Linked DNA regions of Oryza sativa Japonica Group. The protein of the gene in region 1 binds, or shares a complex with, the protein of each later gene. Links are inferred from orthologs where the notes say so. Each region holds a gene or a part of one and is shown in the gene's direction. Other genes may lie near its edges.

Evidence for each region.
Region 2: protein PAF1 homolog (region 1) and protein RTF1 homolog share a complex: the UniProt entries of both Arabidopsis thaliana proteins name them as parts of the nuclear PAF1 complex. The link is inferred for Oryza sativa Japonica Group from reciprocal best matches to the Arabidopsis thaliana genes ELF7 and VIP5.
Region 3: protein PAF1 homolog (region 1) and WD repeat-containing protein VIP3 share a complex: the UniProt entries of both Arabidopsis thaliana proteins name them as parts of the nuclear PAF1 complex. The link is inferred for Oryza sativa Japonica Group from reciprocal best matches to the Arabidopsis thaliana genes ELF7 and VIP3.

What each region holds. Positions count from the first base shown.
Region 1 is NC_089042.1:3,362,573-3,367,193, reverse strand, and holds the start of protein PAF1 homolog, read left to right. Parts: upstream 1-1,627; 5' UTR 1,628-1,896; coding exon 1,897-2,639; intron 2,640-3,284; coding exon 3,285-3,353; intron 3,354-4,220; coding exon 4,221-4,328; intron 4,329-4,421; coding exon 4,422-4,602; intron 4,603-4,621. UniProt on the Arabidopsis thaliana protein: Component of the PAF1 complex (PAF1C) which is involved in histone modifications such as methylation on histone H3 'Lys-4' (H3K4me3). Involved in regulation of flowering time.
Region 2 is NC_089046.1:21,992,717-21,997,259, forward strand, and holds protein RTF1 homolog, read left to right. Parts: upstream 1-1,601; 5' UTR 1,602-1,774; intron 1,775-1,900; 5' UTR 1,901-1,922; coding exon 1,923-3,968; 3' UTR 3,969-4,362; downstream 4,363-4,543. UniProt on the Arabidopsis thaliana protein: Component of the PAF1 complex (PAF1C) which is involved in histone modifications such as methylation on histone H3 'Lys-4' (H3K4me3). Involved in regulation of flowering time.
Region 3 is NC_089045.1:28,461,606-28,465,615, forward strand, and holds WD repeat-containing protein VIP3, read left to right. Parts: upstream 1-1,210; 5' UTR 1,211-1,292; coding exon 1,293-1,640; intron 1,641-3,001; coding exon 3,002-3,625; 3' UTR 3,626-3,842; downstream 3,843-4,010. UniProt on the Arabidopsis thaliana protein: Component of the PAF1 complex (PAF1C) which is involved in histone modifications such as methylation on histone H3 'Lys-4' (H3K4me3). Involved in regulation of flowering time. Required for the expression of the flowering repressor and MADS box gene FLC.

The sequences.
Region 1 (4,621 bases):
CTTTGATGTGTTGCTTAAAAGTTGATTGTCCAAAGTTAAAAACCCATCCACTTCCGGTTAAAACTGACAAGAATTCATTGAAAGAGAAAACATTAATCCGATTAATTAGATTCTATTAAGAAAAGGTGACCATACTGTTTATTATCATGTTTATATTTAGAAGTAACACGTGGCATAACCATTAACCAATCGCAACTGAATATACCATGTGTGTGCCACTAACATTATTTACATCCTTTCAGTAGTCTCATCATCAAACGATGAAAGGGGCTGAAGTGCAAAACTGAAGTTTAAATGCAAATCACAGTTTAAATGCAAATCAGTTCCAAATCCAACCAAAATTCTTCCAAATTCAAACCGAAAAAGGGAAAACACCCCGTGTTCGAAATCTCACTATATCAAGTGTTTTTTTTACTTCTTTTCTAGGAACGATTTGATTCCTCACGACCCTAAGCATCTTGACTAACCTACCTATTGCATCTTCTTGTTCGCCAAGTAATGCGTTACTGATAACGGATGTCGCACTCACAATTGCTACGTCTGAACTTGGTGTAGTTGTAGAAAGACAAACTTCAACAACAACTTGATAACCTGCATTATCTAAATGACGGGTCATATATTTCGTCGTTGTTATTGCCCCACTTTGTAGGTGACTTCTCTCACAATGAACTCATACCCAAGAGGTACAATACATGGTTTGTTTGCAGATACTAATAAAGAAAAAATATTGTCCAATATGATATGCTAAGATTGGAAGAAATACACGTGTTACCGTAATAGGTGCATACATACTAAAAAAATAAGGGTAAGCAAAAAAAAAATGCATCGCATGATGAAAGAAAACAACTACAAAAATCATGGCGATTATGAAATATGTTAGGATAGCTCCCCTCGCCTATTTTGTTTGCCACTTGCTCGAGTATGTGCATCAGTTGCGCCTTAAGCTCGTTAATATTTTGTGATTCTTGGTATGCACCGAATCAATTTGTATTGCTTGTGGTTATATAGAGTTCACGGTATACAAAGAATACGTGATAATCGACGTATACATACCTCATAACTCCTAGATGATAGTAGGAGCCCACATATACCTGGATGGCTACGCGTTGATTAAATAGACACACGGCAACCAAAATACGCTTTTCTTCACCAAACATATTTTTGATAAGATAGTTATTTAGTGCCAAAGTTGTGCAATAAGATCTATAATCAAAGGCATATTTCTAGTATCTTAATAAGATCAATTTGCTTTGATGTTACTTAAAAATTGATTGTCGAAAATCAAAACCCATCCACTTTCGGTTAAAACCGACAAGCATTCATCGAAGGTGAGAGCATTAATTCCGATTAATTAGATTCCATTAAAGAAAAAGTGACCATATTATTTATTATCATGTTTATATTTAGAAGTAACATGTGGCATAACCATTAACCAATCGCAACTGAGAATATATCACGCGTGTGCCACTAACATTATTTACATCCCTTTAATAGTCTCATCATCTAACGATGAAAGGGGCTGAAAGTACAAAACTAAAGTTAAATGCAAGTCAATTCCAAATCCAACCAAAATTCCGCCGAATTCAAACCCAAAAAAGGGGAAAACACCCCGTGTTCGAAATCCCCCGTGGCGTGGCTTTGCTCTCGCGTCGCGCACCTGCGCCGAATTTCTCCGCCCCCGCTTTCGCCTCGTCGATTCGTCGAACACCTCGCGAGCTTCCTCTCCTCCTCTGCATCGCGATCCCCCTCGCGTAGATCTGGTGGGTCCCTGCTGCTTCTGGACCCTTCTAGAAGCTTCCGACGACGACGAGGTGGTGGGAGAGGTAGCCGCCGCGGGCGCGGGGTTGCTGCTGCTGCTGCTGCGGCGCTGGGGTTAGGGTTTGGGGAAACCCTAGGATGGCGTCGTACCGGCCGTACGCGCCGCACCCGCCGCCGCCGCAGGGTGGGTTCCCGCCGCAGCCGCCGCCGATGAACCCGTACGGGCCGCCGCCGCCGCAGCAGCCGGCGTACGGCCACATGCCTCCGCCGCAGGGGGCGCCGCCGCCGTTCCTGGCCCCGCCGCCGCCGCCGCCACCGGGCCCGCCACCGCCGCACCAGCCGCAGTTCAACTTCGGCCCTGGTCCCCCGCAGCAACAGCAGCCGCCTCCGCCGCCGCAGATGTACTACCAGCCGCCGCCGCCGCCGCCGCCGTACGGCGTGAACAGCAGCCAGCCGCCTCCTCCGCCCCCGCCGCCGCCGTCTCCTCCACCTTCGGCGCCACCCCCGCCTCCACCTCCTCCCACGCAGCCGCCTCCTAGGGAGGCCCAGCTTGCTCCGCCTCCACCGAGGGAGCAGCAGAGCAAGTCGGCGCTGCCAAGGGCGGAGACGGAGGAGGAGCGGCGTGCTCGGAAGAAGCGAGAGTACGAGAAGCAGCGGGCCGAGGATCGGAAGAACCAGCAGATGATGCGGCAGTCACAGGCCACGGTTCTGCAGAAGACGCAGCAGGTGCGCGCCGCCCAGCAGCCGCAGAGCCGCCACCATCAGCAGCCATCGGGTGGGTCCCGGCCAGCGGTGACCGCGACTCGCCCCGCCGCAGCTCCCAACGCCGAGAGATTTGAGAATCGCCTCAAGAAGCCGACGACCTTCCTCTGCAAACACAAGTGAGTGGCACAAAGTTTTGTATTCTGTGATTATCAGAGTAGCTATTGGAGAAAAGAGAGTGTATTAGGTCGTAGAAGTTTATGTTTTCGGCAAAACTGTAGTAATTCTTAGCTAACACTTTTGGTCTTACAAGTGAAGTGTGTGTTTTGATCAAACTTAAAGTTATTCTTAGATACAGTTTGGTAGTATTTTGGTTGGTTTATGCCTTAAGAGCAACCTGCGCGGTTGCTAAATGCTGTGATGCTGGACTAGTGACAAGCCGCAGCTGCCTATTAGATGTTCCAAGGCAACATATGGTGTAGTGGCATTGAGATGCAAATCAACCATTTTATTGTATTTTTATTTTTTACTTTTAGTTCTTTATGCTTAATTCGAGATAGTCACTTAGAATACAGTTCATAGTTCTTAAGAGGTTGATGGGTTATGCTTGTCTTTAGTTATTTCTTTTTATAAAATTAAAAGAGGAGCCCTTTTGCGCTGTGAAAAAAATATAGGTGAAAGTATTGCTGTAGTGATGTGATTGGCATTTTCCCAAATTTAGATACTTTCCAGAGCAACTGATGTGCATGGAATGTAATATTGCGATTATGTCTCTATTTCAGAATGGAACTCTTTGATGAATCTTTTGTTATGGATTGGTGCAGGTTTAGGAATGAGCTGCCAGATCCAAGCTCTCAGCTAAAATGGTTGCCACTGAACAAGGATAAGGACCGGTATAAAGAACTACTTGTCTACTCTCCTTTTTCTCGGATTGATTTCTATTGTTGCTTGTTGTAGTGGTGATTAGCAATGCACCTGTTACAGTACAAGCCATTTCAATGTTGTTTATCTAGCTTTATCATCTTCCGATTTGAAGATAACTTTGTGTCAAGACAACTGAGGTTGGTCATTTACTGATCATAGAGCGTAAGTCCTTTCTTTGTGTGTTGCCACTAAGTGCCCTTCATTTGTTGTTAGAGAGTACTCTCCCAAATTTTCGGTCATTTGGGCAGCTTGAATTTAGGTGTAGTAGACCGAGCAGAAAATTGAATTATTCCATGTTCCTTTAATTTACCATGTCATTTTGTGAATGCTGACGATTAGATCTTTGTGAAGAATTTATCTTCACAAAAAATCACTTCATGATCCTTGATGAAGTAGGTCAAGTGGTGGTATTGGAGCGTTATGCAGCAGCCATGTTTTTCATGGCTTGAAGGATAAATTAAGTTAGAATATTTCTGGTAGTTGTGTAATTCTCTTGACAGGAAATGATTGCCACATTCTGGTTTATGTATGGTTCCTGAAGCACACTGTTTCTTAGAAAAACAGTCATTATCACTAGCTACTTCATTGTGTATGAGAGCTTGCCAGTGCACCTTTGTTACACCTACACAGAGGTCCTGTGCCATTTGCTTTTGATTTTTTTTTTTCAATTTGCATAGCCTCCTCTGCTTTTCACTTTTATTCCGCTATCCAGAACATTAGTCTGTGTTGAATTTTTCTGTTTCTCTCTACTGTTCTTCGCCGTGCATGGTGCTCTTAATATTATTTTAGGATGTCTGTGTTCACTCTTTGTTTTGCTATCCGCTACCTCTTTGCAGATATACCAAATACAGAATCACTTCATTGGAGAAGAACTACATACCCAAAATGATTGTCCCCGAGGATCTCGGAATACCTCTTGACCTACTTGATATGAGCGTATATAAGTATGAATTGAGCCAGATATATGTATTCTTAGCTGCTATCCTTATAAGAAGATTCTTTTTAGCATACCTAACTTATGCACAAACTATTTTTAGTACTCCTCCTGTTCAGCCACCCATGGCTCCAGAAGATGAAGAGCTATTGCGTGATGATGAGGTTCTCACCCCTGTTAAAAAAGATGGTATAAGGAAAAAAGAGAGGCCCACCGACAAGGGTATGTCTTGGCTGGTCAAAACACAATATATTTCGCCACTTAGCACCGATGCAGCAAAAATGGTAATGCCAACCATCCTTC
Region 2 (4,543 bases), on another chromosome or scaffold:
GAGTTCAAGTATGCACACATTCCTGTGGCATTGGAGGCTACAATCAAGGTCAGGATTACAGGAGGTTCAACTGATTTCTGTGGAAAGTTCATTGCACATACTGCTAGTATCAATGAACATGTCATATTGCTGGACTCTGGGGAAGAAATGGTGGCTTTCTCCCATGATGGAGCCATTCATTTCTGCCGCAGTGTAGTTGCAGTTGAAGGAAATGGCGGAGCGTTGATTGTTGATGTTCATGCAAGGCAAAGTGGTGATGAGAACATCAGCTGTGCTTCCAAAAAGTTTATCCCGGTAAGATGTGGATGGAGTCGTGACACACTTGATGTTGGGTTTTGCCGGATGAGCGTTGAGGTTTCTTGGTCGCTCATGTTTTCATATTGAGAAAAGCGTAGGCCCTGATAATATTTTTTGCTTGCTGTGACTGAAGCTGTTTGCTCCACGGCATTGTAATATGGCCATGTTTAATATTCGTTGTAAATAAAATTTTCAGTTTATAGCTATTGAATTGTAGAGTAGTCAGTTGCTAAGCACAGCTTCAGAAGAAATCACAAGATTAGTTAGGTATACTTAGGTTAGCCTGCAATTGCTAGTGCATGGTGGAATTATAGGAGGATTCAATGAGCCCTGCACTAGTGGTCTAGTGGATGAAACCAACTTTTAGGACTGAATTCAATATTTTTCATACTTAAACCTTGTATCCATAATAGTTTATTTTGTACTTTGTTTGTTGATCTATATCTGAAATAACTAGAATAGTTCCAATGTACATTCTCTTTCACTCTGGTTGAATGCAGATTGCATCCTTTGTTGAAGTCCCTTAACGACCACACAAACTAATATTGCACTAAAAGTTACCGTATGCAATACGGTAATACTAAAACATAAACTAACAATCACTATTTTATGAAATAGTATCACTGAAACCAACATTTTGGTGGGGTTGGCAACGTGGGAAAACGTAGATTAAGGACACAGAAAACAAAAAAAAAAACATCAGCTTATGATTAATTGAGTTTTAATTATTGCAAATTTTAAATAGATTTATTTAATATATTAGAACAACTTAGCAGTTTGAAAATCGTGCTAATTGAAACTAAGTTAGAATCTGAATATTACTCAGGAAAGAACGGGGCCTTTGTGATGACAAAATTTGAATCTATGCATTATAATTTCAACAAGTATTTCAAATTTGACTAGTTACTAATACAATGCATAACCTTTTCAAATTAGAATACAACTTATGAAAATCTAAGACATAGAAAGAACCTGTTTGACGGAGTTTAGGATTAAGCAGTTGGTTATTTTCTGGATTCTATAGTTACAAATTCTTAGAATCGGGAATAAAATCTAGGCTGTTTGGGGATCTACAGCTAGGGAGTTTGATTTTTTAGGAGAAACTGCAACCGTTATAAGCTCCCCAAACGCTCCCCAAACTGAACCATACTGAGATAGTAATGTGACAACATTCTTCTTCTTCTTCTTCTTTATTAAAAAAAACACAAATCTCATTTTACAATGTGATTCATTGGGCTCTCCCGGCCCAAGGGCCCAAGAGTAAAGCCCCACAAAAAAGCCCATAACTCCAACCGAATCTCCTCACAACCCAACTTCCCCATCTAGGGCCAGCGCACTCTCCTCCTCCCCTCCTCCGCCGCCGTCTCCGCCGCCTCCAGCCATCGATCCCGGCGAGCCAGCGACCGAGCAGGCCTAGCCACCATCCTTCTCGCCCCCCACCGGCGTTCGCCGACTCTGTTCTTGCTGCTGTCTCGAGGTGAGTCTCGCCTTCCCCCCCCCCCCCTCCCTCTCTCTCTCTCTCCCCTCCGCTGTCCCAGATCCCGGATAGGCTCGCGTTTCTTGATTCGATGGTTGATGGATTTTGGTTTGTGGAATTGTGCAGGAGAGTTGCTGTTTGATCGGCCATGCCGGACAACAACAACCTCGAGGATCTGCTGCTGCAGGCGGCGGGGCGGACGACGGGGGCGGGGAAGGGCGGCGGGGCACGGGGGCCGTCGTCGGGCCAGGGCCAGCGGTGGTCGTCGCAGCAGCAGCAGCGGGGGAGGCGCGGGTCGTCGTACTCCGGCGGGAGCGGCTCGGACGACGACGGCGGCGGCGGCGGCGACGGGGGCGACTCCGACGACTCCGACGCCGCGCCGACCCTCTCGAGGAAGCGGCCGCCGTCGGGGTCGCAGGTGCCGCTCAAGAAGCGGCACCAGCCGGAGAAGGGCGGAGGGAGAGGTGGTGGTGGTGGTGGGTGGAAGGAGGGCGACGACGATGACGACGACGACGACGACGACGAGCTCGACGAGGGGAGGCGCAGCGGCGATGACTCAGACAGCGCGCCGTCGGTCGGGAGCGACCTGTACAAGGACGAGGACGACAAGGAGCAGCTGGAGAAGATGTCGGAGCTGGACAGGGAGATGATCCTGGCGGAGCGCGGCGCGCGGATCGACGACTACAAGCTGAAGCAGCTGGCGAGGGCGTCGTCGTCGTCGTCCAAGGCGGACAAGTCGCGGAGGGACAGCAGCCCTCCGCCGCCGCCGAGCCGCGCGCGGTCGTCGGCCAGGACCGACAGGTCCGCCGCCAAGAGCGCGCTGGACGAGCTGCGGGCCAAGCGGATGAGGCAGCAGGACCCGGAGGGGTACCGTAACAGGTTCAAGGATTTGATCCCGCAGAGCGGCTCTCCGCCGAGGCGCAGGGCCGGAAGCCCGCCCAGCGACGGTAGTAATGATGGTGATAACAGGGGGAGGATCACCGATGAAACCCGGGATGATGAGTTTGATGAATCGCCAAGCAGGCTTGACCCTCTGAAGTTTGACGATGTGAAGAGTATAACCCTCAGGAGATCAAAGCTTGTGAAATGGTTCATGGAGCCGTTCTTTGAGGACCTTGTGTCTGGGTGCTTTGTGCGGCTTGGGATTGGCAAGTCAAAATCAGGGACCCCTGATTACAGGCTATGCATAGTTAGAAACGTGGATGCGAATGACCCTGACCGGAAGTACAAGTTGGAGGGCTACACGACGTGCAAGTACCTCAATGTTGTGTGGGACAATGAGGCTAATGCTGCTCGGTGGCAGATGACTCAAGTATCAGACTCCTTTCCCAGTGAAGAGGAGTTCAAGAAGTGGCTACAAGTGGCTGAGAAGAATGGTGTGCGAGTACCGACTCGGCAGGATGTATTGGAGAAGAAAGAAGCCATTCAACAGGCCTACAACTTTGTGTATTCAGCACATACTGTACAGAAGATGCTAAAAGAGAAGAAATCAGCTATCAGACGTCCTATCAATGTTGCTGCTGAGAAGGATCGGTTGAGGAATGAGTTGGATATGGCCATTGCCAGGAGGGATGAAGCTGAAGCAGAAAGGATCCGTTCAAAGCTCAATCAGCTGCAGAAGATGTCGAAGCCAATATCAAATAATGAGAAGGCTGCCAAGTTGGAGGCGATGAACAAGAAGAACCGTGCTGAGAACTTCAAGAACGCATCAGAAATGAAGCCCGTTAACACGAGTTTGAAGGTTGGAGAGGCTGGTTATGATCCCTTTTCAAGGAGATGGACAAGATCAAGAAATTACTACGCAGCAAAGCCTGAAGGAGAGAGCGCTGAAGTCCCCAACGGGAACGATGGCAGCGCAGTAGCTGGCGATGAAGATACGAAGAACGGGCCGCGAGGTGGTTCAGCAGCCACTGCAGCGGCTCTAGTGGCAGCTGCTGATGCCGGTAAGCTGGTTGATACCAATGCACCTGTAGATCTGGGAACGGAATCGAATTTGCTGCATAATTTTGAGCTCGGTATATCATTGGCCGGCCTGGAAGAATTCGGCGGTCCCAAGGGTCTCTTCGATGGTTACATGGCGAGGAAGCAGAAGATTGAAGCAACCATGGGTTACAAGGTCCCTGACAATGATGGAAGGAGGCATGCTCTAACTCTGACCGTCAGTGACTACAAAAGAAGACGGGGTTTACTCTGAACTTCTCAAGTTATCTGTGCCTCTGCCTGCTGTTCGATGGATTCATCTGCCTCTTTGGCCACAAAGTTCATCAGCTGATCGGCACCATGCCATTGTGACTACTTGTCCAGATCAATTTGCATTTTAGCCTTGAGTGTATGTAACATGATGAGACAAGCAAGGTTACACATTTTCTTTTCATAAACAGGACCTGTATGCCTGAATTGTGTTGATGACAATTTCCGCATTAATATTTGTGGAGTGAGTCCTTCTGTTATTTAGTTTGTTACCCTTGTTGCTCTGCATAAAACATTTATGCAGCGGATATTGGGAGACTAGACTAAGAGGTACAAATATTCTATGTTGTATACTTATATGCCAAAAGGAAAAAAAAAACATGTGTCAAGTTATGAAAGTTCCTAATGTTCCTTAATTAGTTCGGTCTAAATCATTATATCAATGTTGATTATCAGATTCTTATTTCTATACTACAAAATGTAAAAAAGAATAGCAATGGCCGTGATACTATAGCAAAATTTCTACTGGAAGAAGGCAAAGCTTGTGTTGAATAATAAAATCTTGTGTAAGATAAAGCT
Region 3 (4,010 bases), on another chromosome or scaffold:
TTCCACGTGATATATTTATACCTTTTCCTTGGATTTGAACTTGTTCTCCCTGGAATGGGAGTTTAATCTTGCAATTCATTTTCTTTTCATTCAAAAATGGAATCTATGACATGTTTGGTTTGCTGTTCAACTAACCCTACCAAAATTTAACACTTTTGGTTTGCATTTGGTTTGCAAATTCTGATAGTCTTGAATGCATTTGGTTTGAAACCTTACCAAATTTATTTTGGTATAGCTTTTAAGAACGCAATTTTCTGAAACCACTTAAATTTGATTGGGTAGCGGTAGTAACAATGGGGCTGACAGGATACGCTGGCCGCTGTTGTCTACAGTCGTTTCCAATGCTATCGCAGGCTCGCATCCATAGGCAGCAAACACAACCGAACACGTCTAATATGTTTGGTAATGTCAAATTTTGATAGGGCTCAAAAGTGAGAACAAAACAAGCATGCATTTCTACTACTTTCTTCGTTTTATATAAAAGACCCTTTGATCTTTTCCTAATCAAACTTTTAACCCAAATATATAGTAACATTTTTTTACCCAAAACAAACACACGACCATAATATATTAAAAGTTAGGTTTAACAAAACTAATCTGGTATTATAGATATTATTATTAATTTTTCTATAAACTTGATGAAACCTAAATAGGTTTGACTTAAAAAACAAAACAGTAATATATGAAGATGGACTTGTTATTCGAGGGGGAAATGATAGTATGGGCATTTACTTTTATCAAATGGGCATGCCAAATCAGCCCAGTTCAGCCTATCCTGAAAGGCCCAGTAAAAATGCAGGCCCAATTACTCCTCAATGCCCAATTCTCTTCTTTACAATTATAAAAATTAGATGTTTTGCCGTTATTTATTAATTTATTCATTAGTTTTAAAATACTGTAGAAGTCGTATAAGAAATCTCTTTAGAAAAGCTCTTATGCTAACTTAAAATGATCGGACTCCTAACTGCGACTTCTGATTTTCTTAAAAGAATATACATCCACGTGAATTCTCACAGCTAATTTCACTTTTAACTAAACCGCATAACAATAATAAGATTAAACTAGACTTCACATGTTGCAACAGACGTGCATTTTTTTTTCTATTTTTTTATTTTAAAATCATCTGAAAAGAAAAGAAAAAAAAAGGAAATTTACTAGTACTCGTATCGTCTTCCTCCTCTCTAAAACCCACGAACCCCTCGTCTCTCTCACTCCCCTCCCCAACCAGATCAAACGCTAGGGTTTCCTCGACTTCGACTTCGTCTTCCTCCTCGAGCAGAGCAGCAGCAGAGATGAAGCTCGCGGGGCTCAAGTCGGTGGACGGGGCCCACGAGGAGTCCATCTGGGCGGCGGCGTGGGTGCCCGCGGCGGACCACCGCCCCGCGGCGCTGCTCCTGACGGGCGCCCTCGACGAGACCGTCCGCCTCTGGGCCCCCGACGACCTCGCCTCCGCCGCCGCCTCCCCCTCGCGGGGCCACGCGCTCGGGGTGGTGTCGCTCGCCGCCCACCCCGCGGGCGCCGTCGCCGCCGCCGTCTCCCTCGACAGCTACGTCCGCGTCTTCGATGTGGACTCGGGCTCCTCCGTCGCCACGCTCGAGGCCCCTCCCTCCGAGGTCTGGGGCATCCAGTTCCACCCCAAGGTAGGTGATGATCCTACCCCCCACCCCACCATCTTTGCTTTGCGATTCACATTCTGAGGTTGCTTGACTAGATTCGTTGTGTGGGGGAGATGTGAGAGGCGTGGGATTTCAGTGTGATAATGTGGTAATTACAGTTGATTCGAGCATCATTTCCATCTGTTGTATGGGTTTGTATAGTTTGGAATATGTCTAGTGTGGTTTTTTTTACCTAGTGTAATGTGTGATCTTTTCTCAGATGTTTTAGTAGATTTTAGTATCATTTTAACTGAAACTTCATGACAAAAGTGTGGCCTTGATTGGCACTTTGTGGTAGTTTTATTAGATTTAAAGAAAATAAAGGAATCTAAAAGAATGTTTTCGCAAAGTTAAGGAATATATGCAAAGTGATCATTTCAATTTTCGAGCAGTTCAAATACGCAATTGATGACTGAGGTTTGGTTGTTAAATTCGGTGGGCAAGTCTGACAGTATATTCAGTTGTTACTGCTTATTATCATTGACCACAGTACCTCACTTTTGTGGAATAGCGCTCCTTCATCTCAACACTGCAACAAATTTAGTAATCGCTTTGAAGAGGATCATCATGTGAAGTATGGTGTTTCATGCATTGCTGGCAAAGTGTGTGCAACATTTACTGCATAGTCGCTTAGACTCTGAGAATAATGTTGAATCCTACCTTTTCGATTCTCTTTCAGACTCAGTAAATTAAGCGACAATTAATTGTGTATCCAAACTCATTGGACATATTTTTATCATAGTTACAGGTTTTGCATAGGTCCTGTTTTCATGCTTCCTTTGTATTTTAAAAATTGATTTGTATTCATGTTTTTCACAATATGCCAGATAATTATCTATTTGGGTAACCCACCTTTCTGTGCAAGATGACTAAACATCACTACGCCCATTGCAATCACTGCCAGAAATGGTTTGTCAAAGTAGCGTATCTGTGGTCAATTCATTTTCATATTGCCTTGTTGTGATTCATCTTGCTAATTTCCAGAACATACTATTTTTCTTAAATGATATTTTGGTATGTACTAAACCTTGCTAGAATTGACCTATGGCCTTAAGACATTATTTATTTTCTTCCATAAACGTGTTGATACAATTATGTCTAATTCAATGAGAATCGGAGATGCTTGTTCAAGCTTGTCTTCTCACTTGCAGTTGAGACGTGTTACGCATTCAGCGTTTTCCACTGTGCTATCTCTATATACCTTTGTTGACAGCATATACTAATTTTTCTAAAACCTGCAGTACCAGGAATTAACCTCCTTTTATGGTAGCCTCACTTTACTGAAGGTCTTCACTTGTTCTAGCTACTGACATTATTACCTCACCCACAAATGCTTTCCTTCACAGGGTAGTGCTCTGGCTGCAGCTGGTGGTGGCAGTGGATCAGTGAAGCTCTGGGACACAGAGAAGTGGAAGCCAATTACCAGCCTTGCTGTTCCGCGTCCAGAGGGAGCTCGCCCTGATAAAACAGGAAGCGGCAAGTTTGTCCTTTCAGTTGCATGGAGTCCTGATGGCAAGCTCTTAGCTTGTGGTTCCATGGATGGCACCATCGCTGTGTATGACGCAGTTCGCATGAAGTTCCTCCACCACCTTGAGGGCCATCACATGCCAGTGAGATCAATGGTGTTCTCTCCAGTGGACCCGCACGTGCTCTTCACTGCCTCCGACGATTGCCACATCCACATATACGACGCCAAGGAGAAGAGCCTCATTGGGGCCATGTCAGGGCATGCGAGCTGGGTGCTGAGCATCGACGTGAGCCCAGACGGCATGGCGGTAGCGACAGGCTCCAGTGACCGCACGGTCCGGCTTTGGGACATCAACACGAGGGCGTCGGTGCAGACGATGAGCAACCACAATGATCAGGTCTGGGCTGTCGCCTTCCGACCACCGGGTGGGACAGGAGTCCGCGCAGGCCGGCTTGCCAGCGTGTCAGATGACAAGAGCATCACCCTGTACGATTACTCATAGTTTTAACACTGCAACCTGCAACTTCATTGTAGTCAGCTGTTTCCAACTTGCATTGGAAAAAAAAACCTGTTGTACAATCCTAATTAAGCTCATGAGTTGCAAGTAGAGTGCGTTTATTTCCAGTATTGGCCTCAGAGTTGCAAACTCGCTCCTTATTGTTCTTTTGCAAGTGATCTCAAGTTGTCAGTTTGAAGTAAAAATATCTTCAATTCTAGCCCGATTAAGTGCTTTTGTCACTGGAATTTATAATCTTTTTTTACAGTCCTCATAAGCCATAATGTGAATATGTGTCTTGCCTAACTCTGAGACGCCTCAGTGTTTATATCTGAAGGTAAACATAGAAATGCGCTATAGAAATGCTTCAGTTTTTCAAAGTGAAGCATCA